4 linked regions of the Pelodiscus sinensis genome follow. The protein of the gene in region 2 binds, or shares a complex with, the protein of the main gene of each other region. Links are inferred from orthologs where the notes say so. Each region holds a gene or a part of one and is shown on either strand. Other genes may lie near its edges.

The links.
Region 1: CHD5 (region 2) and CDK2AP2 share a complex: the UniProt entries of both Homo sapiens proteins name them as parts of the nucleosome remodeling and deacetylase (NuRD) repressor complex. The link is inferred for Pelodiscus sinensis from reciprocal best matches to the Homo sapiens genes CHD5 and CDK2AP2.
Region 3: CHD5 (region 2) and MTA1 share a complex: the UniProt entries of both Homo sapiens proteins name them as parts of the nucleosome remodeling and deacetylase (NuRD) repressor complex. The link is inferred for Pelodiscus sinensis from reciprocal best matches to the Homo sapiens genes CHD5 and MTA1.
Region 4: CHD5 (region 2) and CDK2AP1 share a complex: the UniProt entries of both Homo sapiens proteins name them as parts of the nucleosome remodeling and deacetylase (NuRD) repressor complex. The link is inferred for Pelodiscus sinensis from reciprocal best matches to the Homo sapiens genes CHD5 and CDK2AP1.

The regions. Positions count from the first base shown.
Region 1 is NC_134714.1:128,964,318-128,971,191, forward strand, and holds the start of CDK2AP2 (cyclin-dependent kinase 2-associated protein 2), read left to right. Parts: upstream 1-3,874; 5' UTR 3,875-4,310; coding exon 4,311-4,404; intron 4,405-6,874. UniProt on the Homo sapiens protein: Acts as a component of the histone deacetylase NuRD complex which participates in the remodeling of chromatin.
Region 2 is NC_134733.1:23,812,345-23,819,962, reverse strand, and holds the start of CHD5 (chromodomain-helicase-DNA-binding protein 5), read left to right. Parts: upstream 1-4,601; 5' UTR 4,602-4,751; coding exon 4,752-4,809; intron 4,810-7,618. UniProt on the Homo sapiens protein: ATP-dependent chromatin-remodeling factor that binds DNA through histones and regulates gene transcription. May specifically recognize and bind trimethylated 'Lys-27' (H3K27me3) and non-methylated 'Lys-4' of histone H3.
Region 3 is NC_134719.1:64,828,809-64,836,485, forward strand, and holds the start of MTA1 (metastasis-associated protein MTA1), read left to right. Parts: upstream 1-4,662; 5' UTR 4,663-4,766; coding exon 4,767-4,794; exon of another isoform or gene 4,795-4,835; intron 4,836-7,677. UniProt on the Homo sapiens protein: Transcriptional coregulator which can act as both a transcriptional corepressor and coactivator. Acts as a component of the histone deacetylase NuRD complex which participates in the remodeling of chromatin.
Region 4 is NC_134725.1:31,508,513-31,515,981, reverse strand, and holds the start of CDK2AP1 (cyclin-dependent kinase 2-associated protein 1), read right to left. Parts: upstream 3,008-7,469; 5' UTR 2,993-3,007; coding exon 2,764-2,992; intron 1-2,763. UniProt on the Homo sapiens protein: Inhibitor of cyclin-dependent kinase CDK2. Also acts as a component of the histone deacetylase NuRD complex which participates in the remodeling of chromatin.

The sequences.
Region 1 (6,874 bases), on a different chromosome or scaffold from region 2:
AGAAAGCAAAGTGCCTTCCTTCCTGGCTGGGAGGTGAGTTCATACAGAATTGCCTCTGAACTCTGGCTCCTCACTAACCAAGGACCACCACTGTGAGTGGACAGTGATGAAGGAGCAGAAGGGAGCGCAGCACAGAAACTTTTGGTTGCAGAACTCAAGAACATGAGGCAGAAGGCACTGCCCATGCGTGCTGATGTGGGTGTTCTCGTCACGGTTTTATGTTTATGAATCCTGCTGGTGGCATTTCCTCTAATTAATGTCGAATGACTTCTCCCATTATTAAAAGTTTATTTACTACACCCAGACTCTGTGCTTGTGAGTAATTTTTCCAGGTTAGTGGAGGATGGAGGCTTGAGCCGGTTCTTTATTGCACTATTGAAAAGGAACTCCTAGATATTGAACTCGTCCCTGATTGATGCCAGCTGCAGTTGGCAGAAAGGATATATTTACAAAATCAGACATAAACATGCCAAAGTGTCACACTGCCACATATTATTACAAATTGCTAACTTTTGCATTTTTACTGTTGTGAGACTTTATACCAGGGCTACTCAACATGTGGCTCGCGGGCTGCGGCCCATTTATTTGCGGCTCGTGGTGCAGTTTGGGTTTACATGGGGCTCAACATGTGACCTGCAGGTGAGATCCTTTGAACATGACCTCCACTGAGAACACGCTCCACAACGGCAAGTTAATATAATGGTCTTCTGTTGATATGCATTTTAGTAGTTAAATTCCTGGACTGTCATCGCTCATTAAAAGTGCTGTCATGTGGGTGGAAATCAGGTAAATACTGCATTTTATTAATATCAGCAGATCTTTCTTAAATGGGGCCTGCATCTTGTGTAGTCTTGCCTTAATCTTTGTATTCATGCCTGTCAGTGTGAAAGAACCTATTTGCATATGTATTTGCATGTATATGCAACCACACTTAAGTTGCAGCCCTCGGCATGTGCTGTGAGTATCATTGTGGCCCCTGGGGCTCCCAAAGGTGAGTAGCTCTGCTTTATACCTTACAGGAGCACCTTGTAAAAAAAAACAAAAACTATTTTTCATCTACATATAACTGCACAGGCACAGACTTTCAAAAGTGCTGGATGCCCAACCCCTGGCTCTGCCTCAAGCCCTGTCCCACTCTACCCCTTCCCCCAAGACACCATCCTCCCACGTCCTACCCAGTTCCCGTCCCTCCCCTAAGCACACTGCATCCTCACTTTTCCAGCTGCTCACAGTGGGTGTGAGGCTTGAAGTCAAAGGCAATGATCCATGGGGCCAACCTATGGGTGGGAGGTTCTGGGGGGGAGAGCTTATGGGGGGGTTGTTGGGAGGGTGCTCAGCACTCATCAGTTTTCCCCCCGAAGCACCCACGGAGTCAGTGGCCATGTATAATTGTCATATTGGATATATAAAGCATACCATGTTAGGTATCAGGGGAAAGGTTCTGATCAGCTGATAATCATTGTTCTATCTACATATGCAGGGCTCGACAAATTATACAATCTACTCGCCTGTGGCGAGTAGTTTGTAACCCGGAAGAGCCGGGTTCAGGCGATCTGAGCATGCGCAGATCGCCGGACAGCGCGGCTGGCGAGTGGGGCTCACCGCGGTTCGGCAAGCCCTGTACATATGTATATATTTAATGCATATAAGTCTTGAGATTGTTTTGTACAAGTGCCATGAAAACATGATGTAAGTTGGAAGATCAACTCTAGATACTAGCTCCGCAGAGACAACAGCATAGAGCAGGTTTTCCCAACCTATGGGTCGGGACCCAAATATGGATCGCCATTACATTTCAAAAGGGTCTCCCCAGGTGGCTCTTAAGGAGCCATTCACACATTTTTTGAATTGTCCTGGGTCACCAAGTCTTCCTGAATTGTCAAAATGGGTCCCCATCTGGAAAAGGTTGGGAACTGCTGGCATGGAGAGAAGCCAAAACCCAGGCAAGTGTCAAAACAAGCATCAATAGACATTATCAAGCAAAGGAACAATTCAATGACTCACCTGCGTAAGACAGCTGCATCAGGGGAATTGCTCAACCTTGCCTCAGGACTCAGCAATACCCATCAGACTTGCCTGGACTTGTGTTCTCCAAGCAGATGGACTAAGGTAGAGGTGGGCAATAATTGTTGGGGGGGGGGGGGCACTTAACCAGTTTTGTTAATGGTTTCTGGGCTGGCACATCAGGTGGAAGGGGCAGGACCTAGGCAGAAGGGCCAGTTTCCTCTGGGCACTGCATGCGGTGGAGGGAAGGGAGTGGGGGAGAGGAGATTTTGCACATTCCCCCTGCAGGGTGGGACAGCATGCGAAATCTCTTGGCCCCCTGCCGTGCCAGGGCACTGAGTGTCCAGAGGGAACCACCAGCTGTTTTGAAAAGCTGGCAGTTCCCTCTGATGCCACATGCCCGTGGCAGGGAGAGTAGACTTCATGCACTCCCCCACCCCCAAGTCCCGACGGGCCTGGGGGCAGGGGCATGGCAGGGTGGGCCGCAGACAGGATCAAATAGCTTGGCAGCCTGGATCTTGCCCACCCCTGGTATAAAACAGACCACACTGGCTCATGCTTCACCTTTCTCCTGCCCTCACCTGTGTGGCGAGTGGCGAACCAGTTAATACATTTGCTCTGCTCACCGTGAGCCGGGCAAGAAGGTCTATTCCTGAGGTAGAAGGCGGGGCGGCCGTGGCTGGCGCCTTTCTCTGTGCGGCGCGTGCGTAGCTCTGGGCGCATGCAGGCGATCGAGCTGGGTGCCTCCCCGTGCTGTTGTGCAGAGGGGTTTGCTGCTGGCCTTGCAAAGCAACGAGAGCAGGAGCCCAGGGAGCGGCTGCCCGGGGGGGATCCCCTCACAGCGCCGGGCGCCCTTCACACAACTGGCTCCCCGGGCGAAAGGCCAGTTGGCGCCGGCACTTAGAGCAGCCTGAGCCCCGGGCAGAGCCCCCTGCTCCCGCCCGGGGCCTATGGCAGGGGCGACTCGGGGCAGCCCCCCCCCAGCCACCAGTCTCACAGCTACATGGGGAGCCCCCCCCAAGGGAAGCTCCCCCCGTGCCTCTGGGCCTCCCCCAAGGGAAGCCCCCCCCGTGCCTCTGGGCCCCCCCAAGGGAAGCCCCCCCCGTGCCTCTGGGCCCCCCCAAGGGAAGCCCCCCCGTGCCTCTGGGCCTCCCCCAAGGGAAGCCCCCCCCCGTGCCTCTGGGCCTCCCCCAAGGGAAGCCCCCCCGTGCCTCTGGGCCTCCCCCAAGGGAAGCCCCCCCCGTGCCTCTGGGCCCCCCCAAGGGAAGCCCCCCCCGTGCCTCTGGGCCCCCCCAAGGGAAGCCCCCCCCGTGCCTCTGGGCCTCCCCCAAGGGAAGCCCCCCCCGTGCCTCTGGGCCCCCCCAAGGGAAGCCCCCCCCGTGCCTCTGGGCCTCCCCCAAGGGAAGCCCCCCCCCGTGCCTCTGGGCCCCCCCAAGGGAAGCCCCCCCCGTGCCTCTGGGCCCCCCCAAGGGAAGCCCCCCCCGTGCCTCTGGGCCCCCCCAAGGGAAGCCCCCCCTGCTCCCGCAGACCCCTGTGGCCTGCGCTGCAGCATCCCAGGGCCGGGCCCTGGTGCAAAACCGCCCTGCTGGGTTCCCACAGCTGGGGGGGGGATGGGTCTCCCAGGCCACGACAGCAGCCCCCCCCCCCGGGCAGGATTCGCTCCAGCCCGGCCCCAGGCTGATTCAGGCGCCCAGCCACGCGGCGCCCTAAGCGGGCAATTGCCCGCCGGCTTCCCCACGCGAGGCCGGGCTGGCCGGGAGCGCCTAGGCCTCAGGGCGTCTCGCTGGTCTCCATAGAGACGGGAGCCAGGGAAGGGGCGCCGTGACGCGGGGCGCACGTCACAGAGGGGGGCGGAGGACGCAGGCGCGGGAGGCAGGCGTCACGAGCGGGCGCCGCAGGGTCCGAGCCGAGCGAGCGAGCCAGGCGGCAGCGGCGCGCGCCGGGCCGGGCGGGCCCAGGCCTGTGAGGGACGGGGCGCGAGCCGGAGGGGTGAGCGCCAGAAACGCGCGCGCCCGAGGGGCCGGGAAGGGGCCGCGCGCGCGCGCTCTCTCTCCCACTCCCAACCCCAGCGCGAGGACACTGCCGGACAGCGGCGTCGGGACCCAGCGGGACGGGGGAGGCCGCGGCCAATCAGCGGCGAGGGGTGAGCGGGGCCGCCCAATCGGCTTCAGCAGCCTCGCCGGCCGGCCAATCGGCGGCAGCGTGCGGGATCCTCCCGCCAGCCCGGGAGTCGACGCGCCCCGCGCCGGAGCCGCAGCCAATCAGCGCCCAGGAGCCGCGCGCCGCGTCAGGGAGGGGACTCGGGGATGTCCTACAAGCCCATCGCGCCCGCCCCCGCCAGCTCCGGAGCCGCCGGCACCAGCAGCAGCGCCAGCCCCGCCCCCGGGGCCCCGCCCGCCGGTGAGCGACAGAGCCCCCCCCGGGGTCATTCCCCCCCCCGGGAAACAGCCCCGCCCACCGGGGAGCGACAGGGCCCCCCCCGGGATCGGCCCCCCCCGGGATCACCCCCCCCGGGAAACAGCCCCGCCCGCCGGGGAGCGACAGAGCCCCCCCCCCGGGATCGCCCCCCCGGGAAACAGCCCCGCCCGCCGGGGAGCGACAGGCCCCCGGGATCGTCCCCCCCCCCCCCCGAATTCTCCTGTTCCCTGGGAGACACCCCCCGGCCTCGCGATCAGCCCCCCCCCGAGCAAATCCCTTGGGAGTGACCCCCCCCAGAACCTCCCTCCCCCCCGGAGTAACCTCCTCAGGGAACAGCCCCCCCCCGGAGCCCTTGCTCCTCCCTCCGTGACCCCCCCCAATTGCCTCTGCTCTCCGCGAGCTACTCCCCTCCCCTCCGAGTGGGACAGCCCCTCCCCACGCGAGGGGACTTCCTCTCCCCCCCCACTTACCTACTGAGAGAGACCAGCCCCTCCCCCCCCTTTCCGGAACTGCACTTCCCTTGTGTGACCGCCCTCATTTCCTTTCACTAGTGAGAGACTCGCCCCCGCTCTCCCTGAGAAACCCCCTTGGGACCAGCCCCTCCCCCCCCCCCCAAGGAGCTGTATCCTAAATTTTCCCTGCCCCAGTCCAGCCCCCCCCAATTGACCCCTATCTGCTGTTGACCGATCCACACACGGAACAGCCCCAATTCAAACAGCCCTAACTGGCCGCCTGCCCACTCAGTCTCTGAACTGAACCTCCGAGGGCCCTGGGGCACCGCTTACCGGTGAGCCCCCTCTCGCCAGTGCGCTCTCACAGGAATTCTGTTCCCTGCCAACATCCTGAATCCCCCTGCTAGTTAGTGCCACAGCTGCCACCCGCAGGGCCTTCTCTTCCCCTGCCCTGCTCCATTGGCACAGGCTGAGTGGCACATGCTGCTCCTTCAGTACTACAGTGTCATACTGGGAATGGATACCCAAGGGGGGCATTGTGTGACCGAAAAGCTGATGTGATCACTGGCAGGTCTGTGTCTGCTACCTTGGAGCTTTGACATGGTGTATTCGCCTTTCGTTGTGATCGATCAGCTCTGTCCTTAGGTAGCACTTCTCATCCTGAGGCCGAGAGCCCATTATTAAATTAAGTACAAGTGCCCCCCATCTTACAGAAGGGGAATTGAGGGTAGGGAGAGAGTTTGGCTTCTCCAAGGTTTATGGCTTAGTAAGGAGTGGAACTTGGGTCTCCTGCTGGGCACCTACTTCAGAGCCTGCTGGTCTGTAGTAGGTGCTGCACGTGTTTGTAGCCTCTGAGCCGGAAGGACCGAATGTTGTTTGAGAACTTGGATTGTGAAGTCAGACTTGTTCTGCATACAGGTGACTGGGTAGGGAGGGTTAGGGTAGTGCACACAGCTGGGACCTGAGTGTTCCTGACTTCTCTGTGGTTAACTGTGAAACCTTGCACACTCCCTCCTAAGGAAATAGGAGCCTAAATGCTGAAAAGCTGCATGGATAATGAGATAAATTTCACTATAAGGGCCAGTTCTGTTCCTGGGTGGGAGTCATGCTGATAGGGCACTTTTGAGGGGCCCTGCCATGGTAAGGAAAAAAACAGCACCGTGGCAGATGGGATTCCAGGGGGACAGATGCTAAGTAATGCACATTGGCGGGACTAATCTGAACTCACTGTCCACTTCACTGGGCTGTATATTAACCATCACCACTCACCAAGCTGCTGAGTACGACTCTTGTGATTCCTTTTGTTTGCTGGGCAGCAACTTAGAGAGGCAAACACAGTTGGTGGGGGCATGAGGAATGGACTGGAGGAATACTATTGAACTCCTTGGCATGCTCTTCTGGAATTCAATGGGGCACCCTCCTTTGCAAATGATGTGCGGTACTGGTCAACCCATCACTGAAGAATTGGAAGGGCTTCAGAGATGAGTGACAAGAAACTCTCAGCCCTGGAAGGAGGTTGGGATGGTTCAGCCTGGCAGAGGGAGGGCTGATGAAAGGATACAAAATGCTGAATGGACTAGAGAAGACTGTGTAGTTCCCTTGTATCATAACTTAAGGCACATGGACATTGGATGGCATTAAATCAGGCTTGCTGCTTTAACTCCAGGGATCTATGATCAAGCTTGTAGCACTCACTGCCCTAGGAGATCACTAGCCAGATACAGAAAAGGCTCAGATATTTAACTGGGGATAACCCTGCCAGAACCAGGTCTTATTAGAACATTAAATAACTATCTCCCATAGGGCAGGCTCTCCCATAACTGCTGCTGCAGACTATCTTGCACCTTCCTTTGAAGTAGATGCTGTATATTTTAAGCATGCAAAAATCAGGAAATGTCACAGTTGGGGGGAGGAGGGGTGTTGGCTTTCGCAGATGTGTTAAGAAAGCTCTACTGTAGTGGTGGTTTGGTCTGCTTGTTGGACTTAAGTTAGATGATCAG
Region 2 (7,618 bases):
GATGAGTGTTTTCAGGTTTACTGGTCTTGAAGCCTTGAAATAGACAGCACTTGAGTTTCATTCCCACCCAGTGAGTGTGGCAGCAGAACAGCTGTACTTCTGCCAGCAAGCTGTGACCAGCTTCTCTCTGAGTAAAGCAGTTTGGCAGGATCTTGTACTTGGAGTCTGAGACTGTTGAGTTCTTATGTATTTATTCTTCTAGGCGTTAGTTCTTTAAATATATTTCAGATAACGGACAGTGCTGATGCACTGAGAGAACCTTACCCTGTAATTGAACTTTTTCTTTATTATCCAACAGAAAACCTCACTCCTAGAAACAGAATCCTAAGTAAGTTCATTTGAAGCCCAATTACTTGACAGGGAGTGCGTTTTAAAGTGTCGATCCTGTCCATGTGTCATGCTCAGCTTCTGTAGTAACACCTTTGGTTTAAAAAAGTATCATTACAGAACTAATTACCATAAACAAACACTATTTGCATAAGTGTGCTTTAGTCAAGATGGCTTGTAATTAATGGATATTCCTTTCTCTCCGTTTCTCTGGCACACTGAGGCTACATCTATACTGCACTCTTCTTGCGCAAAAGCCTATGCAAATGAAGCACGGATTAGCATAGTGCAGCGCTTCAGTTACATAATTAGGGGCTGTTTTTCCTGAAAAAATGAGGAATGGCTCTTGTGCAAGAGGGGGGTTTTGCGCAAAAAGGAGCCATCTACACAGCTTTTTGCACAAAAGCCGCTTGCGCAAAAATTGCCCCAATTAATTATGCAAATGAAGTGTGGCAATATGCTAATTTATGCCTCATTTGCATAGGCTTTTGCGCAAGAAGAGTGCAGTATAGACGTAGCCTCAGAGAGAAAAATGTGGGGGGTATTTATGGGGCAATGTTATCAACTTCTCACCCGTAAGACATTTGGTATTTGTGTCACATTCAGATGAGTTTTGTTCTTTAGTAGACGCCTGGGAAGACAACTTGAGCTGTCCAGTGTGCCGGGCGGGGACGTAATCGCTAAAACTCCTAGAGGTTACATGGCTGCGTGTGCTGCAGGCTCTGCACTGTAAAGCTAAGTAAGGACTGCCGGCTCCGCTCCTACGGAGGCTTTGCTGTGGGCTCTGCAGCTGGTGCTTCAGGAGAAGGGCCCATGGCCCCTGCTGGCCCCACTCCCAGGGAGCCAGTGTGTAACCTGCAGTGGGGGAGCTTCTGGCCATCCAGAGTAGCCCCTGCCTGCCCTAGGACTCGCAGGGCTGGACACCGGCCCTTTCCCAGGAGCGGGTGGGGAGCTGCTCCAGCCCCTGCCGGTTAACTGCAACGGTTAAGCCTCACCTGTTTAGTTTACGTCCCTAGTGCAGAGTAGGAGCTGGATATGGGACTCTTCAGCTTTATTTCCATCTCTGACCCAGAATGGCTGTGACCTTGGGTAAATCGCTTTGGGTCCGTCTTTACACACTCAACTTCCATTGGTTTAATGAAAACTAGTAAATTACTGAATTTGCCTAAATTGATGTATGCCAGTTGTGCGTGCCTTTCCTGTTAGTAGGTGCACACTGGTTTAACTGAATGGATTTAAAAATACTTCATAGTTAAGCTGGTACAAAGCTTGCTTGCCTGGTGGCTGTGTTGTGAAGCTTAATGAATATTTTTGTGAAGCATTTTGAGATCCTTGGAGGAAGTGTAGCACATTCTCCTGTCCCCATCAGGCCCCATTGGGGTGATGGGATTCAATGCTCGGCGTTCTAGCATACACACTGAATTCCACTGAGACCTGCTGGAGTTCATCAGGCTTTTGTTGCAGTCTTTTATCATGGCTTGTTAATTTGGATCTCAGTTTTGAAGTATTTTTCCTTTACAAAACAACGCCTCCCCCTTCAAAAAAGAGGATTTTAACCTTATTTTATGTATTACTAACGAAGAGCCATCTGGTCAGGTTCATGACAAAGTCTTCAGAAACGCACGTTTTGTAATGTGTCCTGAAACTTGCAAACGGTGGCCTTTGTTGGGATGCCAGTGAAGTGTTTCGCAGCTGTGATCGGCCTGCTAGTTTGCCAGGACAATGAAGGTCAGAGATGATCAGCACTGGATCCAGCAGTCCTAATCGTCTTAGGGTTAGGACTTGTCTATAAAGTGGCATGAGCCAAACCAAGTGGATTTTAAATGTATCTCGTTAGACTGGTGCAGCTTTTCTAATGTAGACAAAACCTTTCACTTTTGGGCCTAACACCGTCACCGACAGCCAGGAACGCAATGGGAATGGAGCGCGTGCCGAGAAGCACAGATGCAATGTTTGACCTTCTGCTTTGGAGGGAAATGGCTGAGCTCTGCACCAGCTGCCTCTTCAGTGGCAGCCCATTGCAGTCGCCATCTTGGAAGGTCATGCAGGTGACTCACTATATTCAGTCATGGCGCTTTTAGTGCTCACCCAGGACAACATAGCAAGTCATTTTCATGCCCTGAACATATGGGGCTTGAATAGGGCTAACTGAGGCTTTCTCCCCCATTTGATTTGTCCAGAGCAGTTTCCACATTTTTTCCTGAATTGTTGGTTTTGCTGAAAGCTTGAACTCAGTCAAAATAAATGTAAGAACTTTTTAATGAGTTTGTTGTTAGACTTCCTCTGTGTTGACCGTTAAAAATGGGTCCACTATGCACTAGGGTAGAAGTACATGTGGGGGAAACTTCCTAGCAGGGCTACGGTGATTGGTTTGGTTTAACATTAGTCTTCCATCTGGGCAGACCTTTTCCTTAGTTCTTTGGTGTGTGTGAAAATGGCCCAGGTTACAGCCAGCCGTATTAGTTGGCAATCTGCAAACTTTGCCCAAATTTGACGGTCAGTTCTGGTCTGCATCATCTCAGCGTCTCTAGTTTTAGGCTTCGCTTGAGCAGCAGTGAAAAGGGGGAGGGAGGCATGTTCTGATTTGTGTGAACAGGGAATCTGGATCCAGGGCTTCTGATAATGCAAAAACTAGTGTCTCTAGCTATACAGGCACCTTCCCTCCTCCGTGATGCTCCGGTGCCAGCAACCAGATGGGTTCTAGAGCTTAGAGATACGCAGGCACAGACAGCCTAGCCTCAGTCCTTTCGCCGAATAGTAATGCAGAGGGATGCAGGGGCTTGTATTTAGAAACCTGGAGTATTCCCGTGTTCGGGGTTTTTTTAAGCTGTGGCTAATCCTTTCAAAGAAAAGGAAGAATAAAAATATCATGTAAAGGCAGCGATCAGATGTGCCCGGTCTCTTTTAATAAATAGGATGTGGGAGTCATTTCAACAGAATGCTCACTTCTTAACTAGGCTTTTTCAACTTTCTCTTGCTGAATTTGATGCAAAAGTTTGAGTTGCTGTGTCCTTTTCCTGCAAAGCTTTGTGACTTTATTCATTTGAACCAGGAGTAATATGTTATGACACTGAAAAGAAGCTAGGCTGCAGGTCCTACACAGTAACAAAATGTACAATTTGTTTTAAAACAGCCACCACATAGGAACAAAAGATGAGCGCAACAAAAGATGAAGAACAAAAGATGCGCCATATTAAATCATGCTTTTGGCTGGTGGGATGAGGGAGGTCATGCCCCACGGCCAGCAGGTCAGTGGATTAGGACTAGTGTTACCTAAGCGCTTTGAGTGAATTATTCAGAAATGCAGATGTTGTTTATAAAGCTAAGAAATGAGCCAGTGGGCCAATGTCAGAGGCTGGGCTCCGGCTAGGGCTTTTCTGGCTATTGCCTTCAGTTTCCCATGGGGGCTCATGGCTTAAGCACCCCCTGCCCAGCCCTCCAGGATAATATCTTAGGGGTGCTCTGTGAGGTCAGTAGCCAAGCTGTCTCCTTTCCTTTGGGCCTGGTAGGCATGTATGGGTCCACAAGGCAGGGTCTCTGGCCAGGAGGAATCCAGCTGTGGGGGCTTCCCTTCCAGGCTGCGTCCTGATAATGAAAGGGAACAGCACAGGCTGCCCTAGGGGATGGAAGGAGCCCCGAAGAGCTTACTGGCTGCTGCTGGTTCTTGGAAGCAGGGAACTCTGCAGGTGCTTAGCTGGGCCCTGTCCCTGACTTTTCCCTGCATCCACCCTGGGCTGCTAGCCAGGTGCTAGGGGAGGCTAAGCATTCAGGATCTGGAGGGTCAGATCTGGCTGGGATGCAGCTGTGTTGCCTGTCCCCTTCCCAGCCAGCCTCGCCCCTGGGCACAGGAGCCCTGCCAGCGGTGCAGTGGCCGGGCGTGATGTCCAGTGTCAGGAGTGTACTGTGCCAGGGGTGTGATGTGGAAACGGGGGATGGGCGTGGGGGGGGGGTGCCTCTCGCAGACAAAGCCCTGGATAAGCAGACTACCCCCCCAGCTGCAGCCTTGGGTGAGGGTGCTTGCCACGCCTGCCCCCCCCGCCCCTGGCGTGCAGCGAGCGCCCAGCCTGCCCCCCGCACCCCGCGAAGGACGGGTGCCCAAACGATGGGATGCGGTTGCCGGGGCAACCAGACTGGACGTCACAATGTGGGCATGTGTAATCCCGGGGAGGGGGGGCTGGGTGCGTGTCTCCCTCCTGCGCGCTGCGGGCTGGCGGGGCCGGCGCGGGGGCGGGGGCGGGAGGAGCGCGGGGGCGGGGGCGGGCAGAGGGAGAGGGAGAGGGAGAGCCCTCCTTAAAAAAAAAAAAAAAAAGAAAAAAAAAAAGGAAAAAAAAAAAAAAGACCCGGGGCCGCCGCAGCCATCTTCGCGCGGAGCAGCCTCACCCTGCGCCGCGCAGCCCGCGCCCGGCAGGTGGGAGCCCGCGGGCATGCGGGGGCCGGCGGGGGAGCCGCGGGACGAGACGGAGAACGAGGAGGACATGTCCGGTAGGCGGCGGGCAGGAGGCTGCGGTGATGGGCGCCGCGCGGGCAGGGCCGGGGTGGGGATGGGAGGCGGGCGCCGAGCCCCGGGGCGGGGGGCTGCGGGAGCTCGGGGCTGCCGAGGACTCTGCCTTGCCGCGGAGCGCGGGTCCAGGCACCTGCCCCTCTGCCCGGGAGGGACGGAGCCCAGGCGATGTGGCTCCGTGGGCAGCTGCTTTCTGAGGCTCGCCTGCAGGCGGGGGGCTGGGCCGGGGCCCCCCTGATGGGCCCCCCTTGGGAGCATGCAGCGGGGCGGGGAGCCTCCCCCCCAGCGCCCTGCCCCTCTGCCCAGGCAGCCCGGAGCGGGCGAGGGGGGTGCCAAGCGCTAGAGGCGGGTTTTCGGAGGTGCTGATCCCCCTCCCCAGCAGCATCACTCTACGGGAGCTGCGGGAGCTCAGCGCCTTTGAAGATCTGTGACTTCTGCTCTCCTCCCCCGCTGCCTAACAGCCCTGCCTGGGGTGAGTAGCCCAAGGCCTAAGGAACTGGCTGAAACCGCCTGGCTGCCTTGGACTGCTCCTTCCTTCCTTCCTCTCTTGGTCCTTTTTCTACTGGAGAGAAACTGACCCCACTTGTTAGAGCTAAGCCAGGTGGTAGCTGGCTACCTACCAGGGATGGGAAAGGTTAACCGGGACTTGAATGGATGATGTGTATTGGTGCTGGTTAACTGGTAACCCTGCCTCCGCTTCATCAGCCAACCAGTTAAAGATTAGGTGGGCCCAACATGTCACTGGTTAACTGATGAACCGGGATGCTACCTCCCTACTTTGTGCCCTGTCCACATGGGGTGTGGCAAGGGGCTGTCTGGCCTGGTTCCTGTTCCGGGCTGACTCCGTTTCTACATCTTCCCTACTGTAGACTTTTTGGCCCCGTTCTTTGACAGGGGTGGTGACTCTGCCTACAGCTCACCACCCCCCGGCTCTCTCTGCCTAGACTCTCTGAATGTTTCTTGGGTGCCTAGTCTAAACTTTCCTTTCTTCCTCTTTTCCTTACATTTGCAGTGACCTGGAAGGGGTTAACGGGCGGTTCTGGTGTCTCCTCTGTCCTCTTTCCCAGCCTTTGTAGGTTTACCTCCCTCATTCTCTCCACTGGTGGTTTATCTGTGATTCTTGTATCACTTTTACCTCCCTTTGTTTTTCTTGAGGTTGGTCTGTATCCTGGGGTCTACAGCTGTGCTGGGGCATTCAGGCCAACAGACTCATTTCAGTTGAGCCCAAACCTGGTTTGTTGAACAGCAGCTGAAAGACTTTTGTTTACCTGGTTTGTTTTTCCTACTTAACCCACTTTACCTGGCTGTGCCTGCCACCTCTGACACCCACCTGCTCTGCTGACAGGCGTGCTGCATATCTTCTGGGTAAAAAGCAGCTGCTGCACTAGCAGGCGTTTCAGGAGCTTGCTAAGACAGAGTCTTTCTTGGGCTGGGCCAGCAAGGTCCAGGGTAGGATTCAGGGGGGCTGGGTAAGATGTCAGGGCTGTCAATGGAACAGAGCTGACACAGCATTTGTCAGGAGGCGAGGGCAGGGAATCGGTTAGCTAAAGGCCTGGCTTACACAGGGAGGCTTATTCATTGTAAGACCGATAGCTGAGCACAGAGAGATGGATTCTGTAGTTGGGACACAGACATAGGAGGAATCTGCCTAGCTCTTGGCTAGACAGAGGGGGGCCAGCAGGGAGCCAGGCCCTCCCAGGTCAGCAGGGTCCAGAATTCCTCTGGGGCTGGGCTAGGGCGAGGGAGCGCCCAAGGCTGGGGCAGGAAACGAAAGCTCCGCCGGCCCTGGGTTGTGGAGGGAGGGAGAGCCAGCTTCCCGGATGGGACAGTGGGGGGGCAGCTCCTCTCGGTGTGGGGTGTGTGCACAGAAAGTACCCCTCTGAAAGTGGCCAGATATGTATTCCTGTACACATGCCTGCTTGGGGCTAATGTCTTCAGTTTAACTCTGCATGAATATGGGCTAACGTGCCTAGAGCAGGGGTGGGAACCTTTTTTGGGTTAGGGGCCCCACAGAGAAATCAGTTGGGGCCACACACGAGTGAGAAGCAAAAAAAAAAAAAAAAAAAAAAAGCAGAAAGACTTTCCCCACATTCCCAACGCACACCAGAGCTGAGGGGGCCCAGGCTGGCAGCTTTGTGTGCTCCAACCCCACAGTGGGGAGACAGAGAGGCTGGAGCGCCAGCGCGGGTTCCCCAATGCTGGGGGAGGAAGCCCTGAGCCTCAGGGGCAAGATCCAGGCAGGTCAGGAGATATGTATGGTCTTCATTGGGAATTCCTTATGTGTGACATCTTCCTGCAGAACTGCACAGAATTACCTTGCTCACTCTGGGTGTGTAGTTCTTGGTTTTTTCAGTGTTGGGGTTTTTAAGGAAAAAGTGTCTACATGTACATAGAGGCTGATGTATTATGCACCAAAGCTACATCCACAAACTAAAACACTCGTATTGCATCTGTTAACGTAGCCACATTGGCCAAATTCATGCAAGCACAAAATGGCTAAAAATCCACCCAAGCCAGTGGAGTTGTGCTTGTTTATGCCAACAGGGCCAGATTTACCACTCTGCAGGGAATCCTCACCAGGGTCACACAAATCTCACCGTGCTGCCTTCTGCACAAGGGTGGATTCTACCCATGGCGAGCGGGGTCCATGCAGTGCCGCTCGTTTTCTTACATTGCTAAAGTGGACATTCTCCTGAGCGGAAAGCCCGAGCACACCCATTTAACGGCGAGCAATGCTATCGGAGAGAATCGGATTTCCTGGAAAATAGGGGCTGATCATGCTAATTCTGA
Region 3 (7,677 bases), on a different chromosome or scaffold from region 2:
TAGCTTCAGCTGGTTCCAAGCCCAGCAGGACTGACGTGACCCTAACTACAAAGGTACTCTGGTGGCTGCCATAGTGAAGGGAGGTAACCTTGCTGAAGCTACTGGACAGCAGTTTCTCACTGTGATATTTGAAAATTCAAGTGACTTTCAATTGGACAAAACTCCTTGAGGTCAGAAGACAAGACCTAACTCTAGATGAAGCTGGTGTCTTGCTGGGATTCTTTAACTTTTATTAGATGTTTGTTACCTTGTTCACGTTGAGGGAAATGTGAGGCTGTTTCCTTACCGCTGTCGCAGAAATCCAAGCATGGAAGGCTGGGAATGATTGGAACAGATGCACTAGACGGAAACAGAGAGAGAACAGCTTCAGGAATAATTTTGGTTTTCTTTAGCTTACTACAGTTCCATGTTAGAAGAAAATAACTTTTTCCTGAGGGGTCATGATGCTAACTGCTTGGCTACGTCTACACTGGCATGATTTTCTGAAAATGCTTTTAACAGAAAAGTTTTTCGTTAAGCATTTTTGGAAAAGCACGTCTAGATTGGCAGGATGCTTTTCTGCAAAAGCACTTTTTGCGGAAAAGCGTCCGTGGCCAATCTAGACGTGGTTTTCCGCAAAAAAGCCCTGATTGCCATTTTCGCCATCGGGGCTTTTTTGCGGAAAACAGTACTGTGCTGCTTACACTGGCCCTTTTGCGCAAAAGTCTTTTGGAAAAGTCTTTTTCCCAAATGTGAGCAGCATAGTATTTCTGGAAAAGCACTGATGATCTTACATGAGATCGTCACTGCTTTTCCAGAAATTCAAGCGGCCACTGTAGATAGCTGGCATGTTTTTCCACAAAATCATCTGATTTTGCGGAAAAACTTGCCAGTCTAGACACAGCCCTTGGGTTTAGGAAGGAGTTCTACTTGCATGGGTATAATATTACTTAATTGGTCCATTTGGGGCCAATTTCAAGCATCCTGGCCCCAGTTGAGTGGAGGAATAGATATCTGTCATCTAATAATAAGCTAGGGTCAACTGTGAACCCTGTAGGCCACTAACATAGTCAAACACTTCGGCAAAGGTCAAGCATATTCCATAAGGTGACCAGATCTACTTTAAAAGGACAGACTAGTATTTAGACTCTTACAGGTGTCCTGACTTCTTGAAAATGGGCAAATTGTCTTGTGTGTTCTGATTTCCTCCCTCCCTCTCCCCCAGTACTGGCCAGTCCTGCTGCTGAGTTCAGTGGCTGATGATGGAACCGGGTGCAGCATGTGGGGCTGGCCGCTCCTCCTGCTAATCCACCAGTGCTGTTCTTGCTGCATGCCGGCTCTTGGGGAGCAGCCCTGTCCTCCCGACCTCCCATTTGTGGCCAGCAATAGCTGTGCACTATGGGGGCCGGTGCCTGCAGGCAGGCAGCTACGTGTCATCTCTGCTGCCCACTCATCAGCTCTTTACATGCTGCCCCTCACTGTCCTCTCTTGCTGTGCCCCTTTGCCCTCCCCTACCAGCCCCACTGTTCCTCCACCCCCCACAGTCCTGGGTCGGTGCACTCAGCTCACCAACAGCTTGGTGGGCAGGCTCCATCCTTCCCCTTCTGCTCTGGCAGGGCTGGGGCCTGGGAAAGCTCAAGCCCCTCCCACCCAGTGTGTGGGCCAGGAGGAGGGTCAACTAAGCTCTGGAGCAGGAGAGGGGAGCGAGTCCCCGGTATGCACAGTGCTCCTGCAGGCTCTGCAACAGCAGCCCTTCCCCTGCTGCCCTACCCTGGCACCTGGTCCCCTAGGCACCCTCCTCTCGGGCCAGATTGTCTGAAGTAGGGATGTGAGCGTGTAGTCGATGGTCCGATAAGCATAAGCCTATTGCATAGTCGACTAGTGATGAGACTAGTTGCTTCCCCCCGTTCACTGCCTCTGGCAGAGGCAGCAAGGGCTGTGTGTGCAGGAGCCGGTGCTGGAGGAGAGCTGGCTAAAGCTGGTTCCCCCCAGCACCGTCTCCGTGGGGGGGGGGGGGGGTAGAGGCACAGTAGGAAACAGAGAGAGCAGGACTGATGCAGTCTCCACTCCCACCGCTTCTGCTGCGATTCTGCTTTTGAAATTGTCGTTATACTGGGCTCTTGTACAGTTCAAAAACTGAAGCCCTGTGGGGAGCTGGGGCAGGCCAGTGGGGACTCCCCTACTGGCCCCAGGCTCCCTATGGCACCTGAGCCTTTGAAATGTACAAGGAATGTACTAGCCTTTGAAATGTACAACCCACAGGGCTTCTTGTATATTTCAAAGGCTGAGCCAGGGCAGGGAGCATGGGCCAATCCCCTGCTGGCTCCGTGCTTCCTGTGTGGTTTCCGAGCTGGCTCTTGCTACAGTTCAAAGGCCGAGCGCTCTTATAGACTAATCGGCTAGTCGATGGAAATCCTATTGACTATTCAATTAGTTAGTTAATCTAAATTTAACTTCCTTCGGCTGAAGCCCCTGCAGTCAGGTTCACTGGATGCTGGCGCACAGGGCAGCCTTAGGGCTTAACCGTTTCCTGTCCATGCTGTAGTTGGGGGACAGGAGCTGGGTGGGTTTTGTCAGTGGCCAGCAGCAGCCTGGAGGTGTTAGCTGCCTTTCAACACTGGGCGGGAAGAAACAAGATGCTTCCAGCCACAGAGGAACAGGGTAGGTGGCGGGGGGAAGATGGCCAGGTCATCGTTTCCCTCCCGCACAGTGCTGCAAGGCTGCTGCTGGCCACCTTCTGGTGTGAACCCCAGCAGCAATCTGGGGACGGGAGCATGTGACCCTGTGTGCTCCTCCCCACAACTTGCCCTGGGCTTGCTGTGCCAGCTCCCTGGAGCGGTGGGTCCATCTGGAGCCCCAGCCAGACATGGAGGGTTGGATCAGTCAGTCATCTCGAGAGGTGGATGGCGGTGTGTGTGTGTGTGTGTGTGTGTGTGTGTGTGTGTGTGAGTGACCTTGTCACGTATGAACCCTACAGCCTTAACGATAGCAGGTCATTCAAAAGATTCCAAGGGAGCACTATTCCTTTCTTTCAGGAAGGGGCAGTCACCCTGACGTTAATTTGAATGTGAGTCCTGCATAGTTGTGACGGGTTGCCTTTGAACTTGCTTAAATATGAGTAATTTTACCAGGTGTCCCGTATTCAGCGCAGGGAAATATAGTCACTCCTTCCGGCAGTGGTGCGGTCCCAGCCTCCCTCCATACATTGATGCTTCCCTTCTGCCTCCATCTCAGCTGGACAGTGGTGTAATCAGCTTCTGTCAGTCTCTGCTGGGCAGGCAGGAGGCAAAGAATGATGCTGTATAGTACGAGCGCCTAGGCAAAGAGCTGTAGTGCCTCGTATTCCCGCTTGCAACCCTTGCCCCTTTCCAGAGTCTGCTGGGTGCCTGTCCTCAGTGCCGGCTGCCCCAGCACAGCAGGGCCCCACTTGCTGTCCGCCGCAGGGTGTGGAGCAGGTGTGATCTGGCCGAGGGCAGAGGATGGCAGCTGGGGCCCTGGGGATGGATGAATCCATCCCTAAGGCTACCACTGTGCCCCATTCTCCTGCCTCCTTCCCAGCCCATCCCCCTAGCGCCACTTCCCACTGCCCTATTCCCCTTGCCCACCACTTCCCTCTCAGCCTCCCTGCTGCCCCTTCCCCTCAGCTCCCTCTCCCCCCACTAGCCAGCCCGTACTGCCCCTGCCCCACTTCGCTCCTACCCGCCCTCTCGCCACATTGCCTCCCCCCCCGGCTCCAACCTGCCCCCCATTATCCCCCTGGCTCCAACCTGCCCCCCCCATTATCCCCTTCGGCTCCAACCTGCCCCCCATTACCCCCTCCCCCCTCAGCTCCAACCTGCCCCCCATTATCCCCTCCCCCCTCAGCTCCAACCGCCCCCCCATTATCCCCCTCAGCCCTAACCTGCCCCCCCATTATTCCCTTCAGCCCTAACCTGCCCCCCCACATTACCCCTCCCCCCTCGGCTCCAACCTGCCCCCCCATTATCCCCCTGGCTCCAACCTGCCCCCCCATTATCCCCTCCCCCCTCAGCTCCAACCTGCCCCCCCATTATCCCCTCCCCCCTCAGCTCCAACCTGCCCCCCCATTATTCCCCTCAGCCCTAACCTGCCCCCCCACATTACCCCTCCCCCCCGGCTCCAACCGCCCCCCATTATTCCCCTCAGCCCTAACCTGCCCCCCCACATTACCCCTCCCCCCGGCTCCAACCGCCCCCCCATTATTCCCCTCAGCCCTAACCTGCCCCCCCACATTACCCCTCCCCCCCGGCTCCAACCGCCCCCCCGTTATTCCCCTCAGCCCTAACCTGCCCCCCCACATTACCCCTCCCCCCCGGCTCCAACTGCCCCCCCGTTATTCCCCTCAGCCCTAACCTGCCCCCCCACATTACCCCTCCCCCCCGGCTCCAACCGCCCCCCCGTTATTCCCCTCAGCCCTAACCTGCCCCCCCACATTACCCCTCCCCCCCCGGCTCCAACCGCCCCCCCGTTATTCCCCTCAGCCCTAACCTGCCCCCCCACATTACCCCTCCCCCCTCAGCTCCAACCGCCCCCCCGTTATTCCCCTCAGCCCTAACCTGCCCCCCCACATTACCCCTCCCCCCTCAGCTCCAACCGCCCCCCCGTTATTCCCCTCAGCCCTAACCTGCCCCCATTGGCCCCTCCCCCGGCTCCGACCCGCCCCGCCCGGCGCGGCCCCTTTAATTCCCCTCCCCCTCCCGGCCGCTCCAGCCTCCATTTTCCAGCGGATCCGGCACCTGGAGGCGGCGCGGGAGCGGCCCGGCCCGGGCATGGCCGCCAACATGTACCGGGTGGGAGGTAGGGCCGGGGGGGGGCAGGTGTAGAACGCGGGGGGGCCGGGAGCAGCGGGGGGGCAGGTGTAGAACGTGGGGGGGCTGGGGGCAGCGGGGGGGCAGGTGTAGAACGCGGGGGGGTTGGGGGCAGCGGGGGGGCAGGTGTAGAACGCGGGGGGGCTGGGAGCAGCGGGGGGGGCAGGTGTAGAACGCGGGGGGGCTGGGAGCAGCGGGGGGGGGCAGGTGTAGAACGCGGGGGGGCTGGGAGCAGCGTGGGGGGCAGGTGTAGAACGTGGGGGGGCTAGGGGCAGCGGGGGGCAGGTGTAGAACGTGGGGGGGCAGGTGTAGAACGCGGGGGGGCTGGGAGCAGCGGGGGGGCAGGTGTAGAACGCGGGGGGGCTGGGAGCAGCGGGGGGGGGCAGGTGTAGAACACGGGGGGGGCTGGGAGCAGCGTGGGGGGCAGGTGTAGAACACGGGGGGGCTGGGGGGCAGGTGTAGAACGCGGGGGGGCTGGGAGCAGCGTGGGGGGCAGGTGTAGAACGTGGGGAGGCTGGAGGGCAGGTGTAGAACGCGGGGGGGCTGGGAGCAGCGTGGGGGGCAGGTGTAGAACGTGGGGAGGCTGGGGGGCAGGTGTAGAACGCGGGGGGGCTGGGAGCAGCGTGGGGGGCAGGTGTAGAACGCGGGGGGGCTGGGAGCAGCGTGGGGGGCAGGTGTAGAACGCAGGGGGGCTGGGAGCAGCGTGGGGGGCTGGCGGGAGATGGGAGTGGGGTAGAATCTGGGGTGCATGTGGGTTGGGGGTCTTAGGGCTGGGGCAGAGTGCAGAGTTGGGTTGTGGGCAGAATTGGGGCTGGCAGGGGATGGGGGACTCTGGGGCAGTGGGTCGTAGGGATGGAGTAGAATGTGGGGCTTGGAGTTGTGGGGGCTGACATGTTTTGAGGTTGTGGGCTGGATGCTCTGGGGGGGAGCAGCTAATGTGTGTGGGGTTGTGGGTAGGTCTGGATGGGGTGTGCGGGAGAGGGTAGGGCTGGATGGGGTGCGCGGGACGAGGTTAGGGCTGGATGGGGTGTGCGGGATGAGGGGTCGGGAGAGGGTAGGGCTGGATGGGGTGTGTGGGATGAGGGGTCGGGAGAGGGTAGGGCTGGATGGGGTGTGTGGGATGAGGGGTCGGGAGAGGGCAGGGCTGGATGGGGTGTGCGGGATGAGGGGTCGGGAGAGGGTAGGGCTGGATGGGGTGTGCGAGACGAGGGTAGGTCTGGATGGGGTGTGCAGGATGAGGGGTCGGGAGAGGGTAGGGCAGGATGGGGTGCGCGGGACGCGGGTGGGGCTGGATGGAGTGCGCGGGACGAGGTTAGGGCTGCATGGGGTGTGTGGGATGAGGGGTTGGGAGAGTGTAGGATTGGATGGGGTGCGCAGGATGAGGAGTCGGGGGAGGGGAGGGTTGGATGGGGTGCGCGGGATGAGGGGAGGGTTGGATGGGGTGTGCGGGATGAGGAGTCGGGGGAGGGGAGGGTTGGATGGGGTGCGCGGGATGAGGGTAGGGTTGGATGGGGTGTGTGGGATGAGGGGTTGGGGGAGGGGAGGGTTGGATGGGGTGCGCGGGATGAGGGTAGGGCTGGATGGGGTGTGCGGGATGAGGGGTCGGGAGAGGATAGGGCTGGATGGGGTGTGCGGGATGAGGGGTCGGGAGAGGGCAGGGCTGGATGGAGTGTGCGGGATGAGCGGTCGGGAGAGGGCAGGGCTGGATGGAGTGTGCGGGATGAGGGGTCGGGAGAGGGTAGGGCTGGATGGGGTGTGCGGGATGAGGGGTCGGGAGAGGGCAGGGCTGGATGGGGTGTGCGGGATGAGCGGTCGGGAGAGGGCAGGGCTGGATGGGGTGTGCGGGATGAGCGGTCGGGAGAGGGCAGGGCTGGATGGGGTGTGCGGGATGAGGGGTCGGGAGAGGGGCAGGGCTGGATGGGGTGTGCGGGATGAGGGGTCGGGAGAGGGTAGGGCTGGATGGGGTGTGCGGGATGAGGGGTCGGGAGAGGGCAGGGCTGGATGGAGTGTGCGGGATGAGGGGTTGGGAGAGGGCAGGGCTGGATGGAGTGTGTGGGATGAGCGGTCGGGAGAGGGTAGGGCTGGATGGGGTGTGCGGGATGAGGGGTCGGGAGAGGGCAGGGCTGGATGGAGTGTGCGGGATGAGGGGTCGGGAGAGGGCAGGGCTGGATGGAGTGTGCGGGATGAGCGGTCGGGAGAGGGTAGGGCTGGATGGGTGTGCGGGATGAGGGGTCGGGAGAGGGTAGGGCTGGATGGAGTGTGCGGGATGAGCGGTCGGGAGAGGGTAGGGCTGGATGGGTGTGCGGGATGAGGGGTCGGGAGAGGGCAGGGCTGGATGGAGTGTGCGGGATGAGGGGTCGGGAGAGGGTAGGGCTGGATGGGGTGCGCGTTATGAGGGTAGGGCTGGATGGGGTGTGCGGGATGAGGGGTCGGGAGAGGGCAGGGCTGGATGGAGTGTGCGGGATGAGGGGTCGGGAGAGGGTAGGGCTGGATGGGTGTGCGGGATGAGGGGTCGGGAGAGGGCAGGGCTGGATGGAGTGTGTGGGATGAGGGGTCGGGAGAGGGTAGGGCTGGATGGGTATGCGGGATGAGGGGTCGGGAGAGGGCAGGGCTGGATGGAGTGTGCGGGATGAGCGGTCGGGAGAGGGTAGGGCTGGATGGGGTGTGCGGGATGAGGGGTCGGGAGAGGGCAGGGCTGGATGGAGTGTGCGGGATGAGGGGTCGGGAGAGGGTAGGGCTGGATGGGGTGCGCGTTATGAGGGTAGGGCTGGATGGGGTGTGCGGGATGAGGGGTCGGGAGAGGGCAGGGCTGGATGGAGTGTGCGGGATGAGGGGTCGGGAGAGGGTAGGGCTGGATGGGGTGCGCGTTATG
Region 4 (7,469 bases), on a different chromosome or scaffold from region 2:
CTGATCATTGTCCCTAATTCAAGACCCATCCACACACAAAAATCCCATAGCCAGAGGGTGGTGGACCTGCCTGTCTGTATAATCTGCAGCTCAAGTTAGCACAACTCATCAGCTGCTCACACAACAACTTTGGGTAGCTCCTGTTATTTTGCAGTGTGGCCACTCTTGCTGGAGCTAGACTAAGTGGAATTAACCAGAGTGTAGATAACACAAGTGAGCTCTGCAGTGAAGACACAGACTTCAGAAGCATGTCACCACAGTCTCTATAGTCCCACTTGCACCAGAAACCCTGCAGCACAGATTATCAGCACTGTTAGGGACTCCAAGTTGGCCACCTCCCCTTGAAAAACTTGACTCCTGATCACTCCAAGTTCCGATAGAGCAGCTTCTGCAGAGGTGATTTTGGGCCAAAGGGACAGATGTCCTGCTTTTTCAGCCTCTCCACAGAATACAAAGGAAAGGGAGACCCAGGTTTGGAAGCAAACCCAGGATTTGCACTTCTAGCTGAGCTGGTGGTATTTCATTAAAACACAATAGAGAAGGATCCTCCTGAAACTCAGTTTAGGGTCCAGCAAGAAAGGAAGGAAGCCATTTGCAGTCACATCATTCTCAATGCAATGTGTGCCCCTGCAAGGACTGCTTTGTCTAACTCCCTTGGCCTCAGGCCATCATGCTGGCATTGCCACTAGCTAGAGGAAGGGCTGGTGAAGGAGGGATAATGGCAGGAGACAGAGAGAAAGAGAGAGTCCATTTTGGATAACGATTCCGATATTTTTCATTTCAAAGCATCTCTGGGCAGTAAAGCTGACAATTAAGCAAGCACAAGTTAGACAGGGATAACAGGAGCACAACACTGGACTGCTGAAAAGCCACTGAGGACTAATCAAATGAAAGAATTTAAAGCTTGAATCGTGTCATGGTTTATCAGAAATCATATAGACAGAACGAGAACAACAAAAATACAGAAAAAACTTCCCAAGTTACTTAAACTAATGGTCTCAGTAACCTATTTGCCATGGTCTTAGCCGTTTCTTTCATATGAAGTGCAGTTAGCCTTGTGTTTTCCCCTCACTCCATGACGTAAGCCAAAAATCAAAACAAAAAGCTTAGTGTCCCTGCTCTTGTATGGAGGTATTTTAGAGAATGAGACAGATTGTAGTGAGAGACAAAAAGGAACAGTTCCAATGCTTGGGTTTTTTTTTTTTTTTTGGTTTTTTTTTATGGTAATACTGCTTTATTATGTCACAAAGAATCTAAGTCAGGACCATGACTTTTTTTTTTAAATGTAACATGCTGATCTCAAGCCATGATCCTTTAAATACTGACATGCATGCTGAATTTTACACACCTTGGACCTCTCATTAAAGTCAGCTAGAACAAGCTTCAAGCTATTCTCATATATAGGTGTTTGCAGGACCACGGTTGTAGTTCATGTCTTTCTTCTCTAGCCACTGATGACAAATTCCTTTCAGTAGAATGAGATCTGCTAAAATTGCAACTCTCATTGTACCATTTGGGGACTTTTAATTTCTTTAGCACATCAATACCCCAAGAACAGAATCTCAGGCAGTGCTACAAAACCACTGAAGCATATTTCCACTCCGTCTTCAAACATCAAAACTTCTCTCTCTACCCTTTTTGTTTTAAAAGTCACATTTCTTCCTGTTGATATTTTGATATCAGACCTGTAGATGCTATGCATGTGAGTGACCTGGTAAGACTAGCTTGGTTAAACACAATTTTTCCATATTTTGTTTTAGTACCACTAAGAGAGATAAATATATGGGTGATCTCCTGAAAATACCCCACTCTGGATTAATTCCTGCAACTGTGTTCTGAATTTTCTTAATTATACCCACACACACTTTCACATGCATACCCATACAAATACACACACACACACACACACTTTTACAGCAAAGTTCACAACCAAAATTATTTTTTAAATTACTATTTCCTTTGCAAATAAAAAGTTAAATCCATCAAAGTAACTTTGCAGGGGATGGAGAAGCTGGGGAATAAAAATAAACACAGACTGGGGGAAAAATAGGTTTTCTCGAACAAGAATGAAGCGCCTAACATCTCATTCTGGAGGGAGATTTATGCAACACAAATGAATCCTCTCCAAGGCACTTTGAGTGACAATCCCAGGTTACCCAACCCTGCTGGAAAAAGGGGCTTTTGCAGATCAGGGGTGAGGGGCTTTTTTCAAAGTCCCCTTAGGGTGCAGCCCTGGAGAAAGCACAGACAGGGGACAGCAAAGCCCCCAGCCCCGAAGAGCAGAGAGCAAAGGCTGCCTCGCCACACACCATGCGCGGCCAGGCACTTGCAGCGTCTGGCCAGCAGCGGTCGCGGCTGAGCCGCGAACAGAATATTCCTGATCCAGATCAATCAGCAGCCCGAGGGAGGCGATCATGGAGGAAAGCGAACGGCCGGATCAAAAGAGCTACCAACTGAGAGGCGTCGCGCGGAGGCGGCCGGCACCTGGACGCCAGCCTGGGCGCAGCGCCCCGGGGCGCCGCGGGGCTCGGAGCGGGAGCCACGCGGGGAGCCGAAGTTTGCTCCTTGGGAAGCGCAGCGCTGTTTGTGATTAGTAATAATGGCGGATATGAATCAGCTCCGAGGATCTGACCCTACGTATAGAACTGGACAAAAACTACAGTCTGGGGCTTTCCCCAGGTATTCCTGCTGCACCACAGCGCTCTTTTTGTGCCTCCAAAAAGGGCTGGAAAACTTGCCCTCCAGTTGCAATCGGAGACTTACCCTGGTTGATGGAAGTCCCAGGGAGGTGGGCGTTCAAGTTGGGCTTGTAAGACATTCCTAGAGACATTGTAAATTCAAGAAATAAAAATGTCCTGACATTCAGTGGAGCGTCTCTGTGTCTCTCAGACACTTTGGGTTGTTTACAGCGGTAGCAGCACCGGCAAATATGGCCGTCACTTATATTGACACCCACAATGCAATATATCATCCATACATCATTAGGAGACATGAATCCAAAAACTTTAGGGGAGAAAAGGAATTCACATGCCTCACAGCTACACCCAAAGCACTTTAGATTTTTTTTTTTTTTTGGAGGGGGGTAATTTTTTTATTTTATTTTATTTTACAAAGCAAACAATAGAGCTCTTTTAAAAAAACATTGTTTTTTAAATTAACTTCAGAAACTTTTGGCAGAACTTTTGGGGTGAAGGCTTAACATGTAACTTGTTAAAAAGGGTGAGCTGGGGTTTGAGGAAATGTTTCCTGAGCAATATTAAAAGGAGAAAAAAGGTTGAGTTTGTGGTGTTAGAGTGGCTTTGATGGTTTTTGTGGGAGATGAGACAATAATCTGTATTTTTTAAAATATATATAATTTTTCCAATTAATTTTAATGATGAAAAATTTCTGCTAATAAATGTTTAAGCATTTTTCTCTCAATTTTCTATATACATTCTCAAAGGGAAAAAGGTGTTTTTTTCAAAATTATTTTATATATTATATACATTTTTGTCTGACCACCAGACCAGAGGTTGAAGGTCAATATAGACTGCAATATAGCAATGAGAGTTGTAGTGAAAATAAAAATAATTTATAATGAACTGGTTTTCTGATTGCAAAGACATGGTAATGAAAAATAATTTTCCTCACAGATTTAGAATGCTAAGTTTTAAAAATAATATTTAAAAAGTCTTAGAGATCTCTGACCCCAATACTCATTCCAACAATGGATCAATTTAATTGCAACAGAGTTATCCTCCAATTAACCCACAATAGGCCTATGGCATATTCAGTTAAAGTTATTCTAGATTTACATGAGTGTAACTGATCAGAATCAGTCTTCCTACCCCTTCTAGTGGGTTCTATAATTAAACACCATGCTGGAATTTTCACATTACATGGCATTTCCATTGTAAGAGTGTTACTCTGAGAAAGCTGTGACAGTTACAATTTCTACTATTATTTTGCAACCAAATGGAGCCCAATCCTGGCTCCATTTAATGACCGCCTTCCATTGACTTACATGGTACAGAATTAGGGCTAGAGCAGTTTTCATTTCATTCATGGCTTTACAAAAGAAGGTAGGCTTGATTCCAATTTTACAGGTGCAGAAACTGAGTTGCCTGAGGTTAAATAATTTGTATAAGGTGATACAACAGCCACTACAACTCAAGTATCTACACACCACTTCCCTGTTCTACCCATGAAACACTTCAGAGCCCTTATAGGAACAATCATGGCTGAAGCCTGTGAAATAAATTAACTTGGTGTCCTGCAGTTTCATTTTCAACTCCAAATATGTAACAAGTTACTTACAGCAGTGAAGTCCAGAGTCGCGAAGGTTATTGCTTAAACATCTAGGCTGCATCTAGATTGGCATGAGTTTTCCGGAAATGCTTTTAACTGAAAAGTTTTCCATTAAAAGCATTTTCAGAACAGAGCATCTAGATTGGCACAGACGCTTTTCCACAAAAGCACTTTTTGCGGAAAAGTGTCCGTTCCAATCTAGACGTGCTTTTCCGCAAAAAAGCTCTGATCACCATTTTCGCGATTGGGGCCTTTTTGCGGAAAACAAATCTGAGCTGTCTATACTGGCCCTTTTACGCAAAAGCTTTGTGCAAAAGGGACTTTGGCCTGATCGGGAGCAGAATAGTATTTCCGCAAGAAGCACTGATTTCTTACAGTAGGAAATCAGTGCTTTTGTGGAAATTCAAGCTGCCAGTTTAGACAGCTGGCAAGTTTTTCCGGAAAAGCTGCTGATTTTCCGGAAAAACTGGCCAGTCTAGACATAGCCGTAATGCGCGCTGTACTTCATTAACACCAGGCCTGAAAGCTTAAGGCATAAAGTTAGATGCTTTTTATCCCATATTTTCAAAATGGCATCTAAAGGGTGGCTGTGCAATTTTCAAACTCAACAGGAGTCATGCGGCTAACCCCCCCCTCTCATCCAGCACTTTCCAAATTGATGCCTGATGATTCCTGAACCTTTGTTGCAGGGTTTGCACATCACTGTTTACACTGATCCCTCAAATGCTTGTAAACCTTTGCAGAACACATCATTCTTGACCTAATTTTTATGGTCCCGATTCTCCATTACCCTGACCTTCTGCAGTCATTTATACATCTATCAAGTAAATATAGAATGGAATCTTTCTGAGTTACTAGTATTCTAGTGTAAACAAATGCATGTGATGCAGGGCCTCAGAGAATTTACTTGGGACTCACATTGACAGCTTAAAAACATACAATGTTCCTATAAGAAATGTCTTTAAAATAGTGAAGACCCTATAAAATCATCTCTCTTTAAATTACAATAATACAAGGTGTAGAGGGACCCATCTATATTTTTGAGCACTCTCCCCCCCCCCCCTTTTTTTTTCCTTTCTCCACCAATAGAAAGTTTTCAATAATTTAGGGCCAGATTCTCCATCATGGACATCTCTGCAGAGTGGGTGTCTGTTGCCACTCTGCCAGAAAAGTAGGATTTTACATCCACTCTTCAATTCTCCTGCTTAGCTGTGACGACACAATGTGCTAGACCACAGAAAATCACACCCTTATCTTTTGGCACCTGTAAGACCTGTCCAGTTTAATTGGCTTGGCTGGTTATCTTTTGTTCCCAGTTTTCACTCTGGGTAGGCCCCAGAGAAATTGGCATGGGTACAACATGACCAAAAGTGTTTCCCATCTCCCTAATGGTGTGCAGTCAATGTACAATTAGTGGTCTCTTTTCACACATTTGTGGCTGTAACAAAAAATAACCATCCCAGCTGGCACTATAATCTGCTTTGTTGGCAATTTTAGCAATGAGGCCAGAGATGAATTCTCTCAGAGATATTGCCTTTCGGCCAGGCAGGGTCATGGCATGGACCCACATCCTACAGACAGAAAACATCATTTCCATTGTCCTACATTCAGCAGCTATCAAATGCAGTAACCTCTTTTCACAGGACACCCAGTAGAGATAGAAGTTGGGCATCTTCTGTACCAATATCACATCTCTGCCCTCTGAGCTGTCTGCTCACTGGTAGCAACAGTGGACTCTTGATCTTTACATAGGTCAGCCACTAGAAGGGGACATATCCTACAGAACCGATGTGTTACATGGTTTGATGTCCTCTCCCCCCCCCCACACACTCTGGAGGCAGAGATAACTTACAAAATGTGTATGTTCTTAATTTTTTTTTAATCAAGGAGAAAGGCAATAAGTTGGGCTAGTCTCCACTATTTGACAGATGATGTGGGAAAAGCTAAAGTACTCAATGCTTTTTTTGCCTCTGTCTTCACAGACAAGGTCAGCTCCCAGAGTGCTGCATTAGGCAACACAGTATGGGAAGGAGGTGGGCAGCCCTCAGTGGAGAAAGAACTGGTTAAGGACTATTTAGAAAAGTCAGACATACAGAAATCCATGGGACCTGATTTAATGCATCCAAGGGTGCTGAGGGAGTTGGCAGATGCTATTGCAGAGACATTGGCCATTATCTTTGAAAACTGGTGGACATTAGAGGAGGTCCCAGATTACTAGAAAAAGGCAAATGTAGGGCCCATCTTTAAAAAAAAAAGGGAAAAAAGACAATCTAGGGAACTACAGACTGGTCAGCCCCACCTCAGTCTCTGGAAAAATCATGGCGGGGAACCTCAAAGAATCCATTTTGAAGCACTTGGAAGAGAGGAAAGTGACCAGGAATAGTCAACATGGAATCACAAAGGGCAAGTCATGCCAGACCAATCTGATTGCCCTTCTATGACAAGATAACTGGCTCTGTGGACATTTGGAAGGCAGTGGAGGTGATACACCTTGACTTTAGCAAAGCTTTTGATACGTCTCCCACAATAGTCTTGCCAGCAAGTTAAGGAAATATGGATTGGATAAATGGACTGTCAGGTGGAGAGAAAGCTGGCTAGATTGTTGGGCCCAATGGGTAGTGATCAACAGCTCGATGTCTGGTTGGTGGTCAGTTTCAAGTGAAGTGCCCCAAGGATTAGTTCTAGGGCCAGTTTTGTTCAATATCTTTATTAATGACCTGAGTGAGGGCATGTCTGCAGATGATAGTAAGCTAGGGGGAGAGGTAGATACGCTGGAGGGCAGGGATAAGGTCCAGAGTAACCTAGACAAATTGGAGGATTGAGCCAAAATAAATCTCATAGGCTGTGTCTAGACTGCATCCCTTTTCTGTAAAAAGGGATGCAAATTATACACATCGCAATTGCAAATGAAGCTGGGATTTAAACCCCCCCGCTTCATTTGCATAAACATGGCTGCCATTTTTTCCCAGCTCGGAGCTTTGCTGGCAAAAAGCGCCAGTCTAAACGGGGATCTTTCGGAAAATAAAGCCTTTTCCGAAAGATCCCTTATTTGCAATTGTGATGTGTCTAATTTGCATCCCTTTTACGGAAAAGGGATGCAGTCTAGACACAGCCCTAAGGTTTAATAAGGACAAGTGCAGAGTCTTGCACTTGGGATGAAAGAATCCTAAGCACTGTTACAG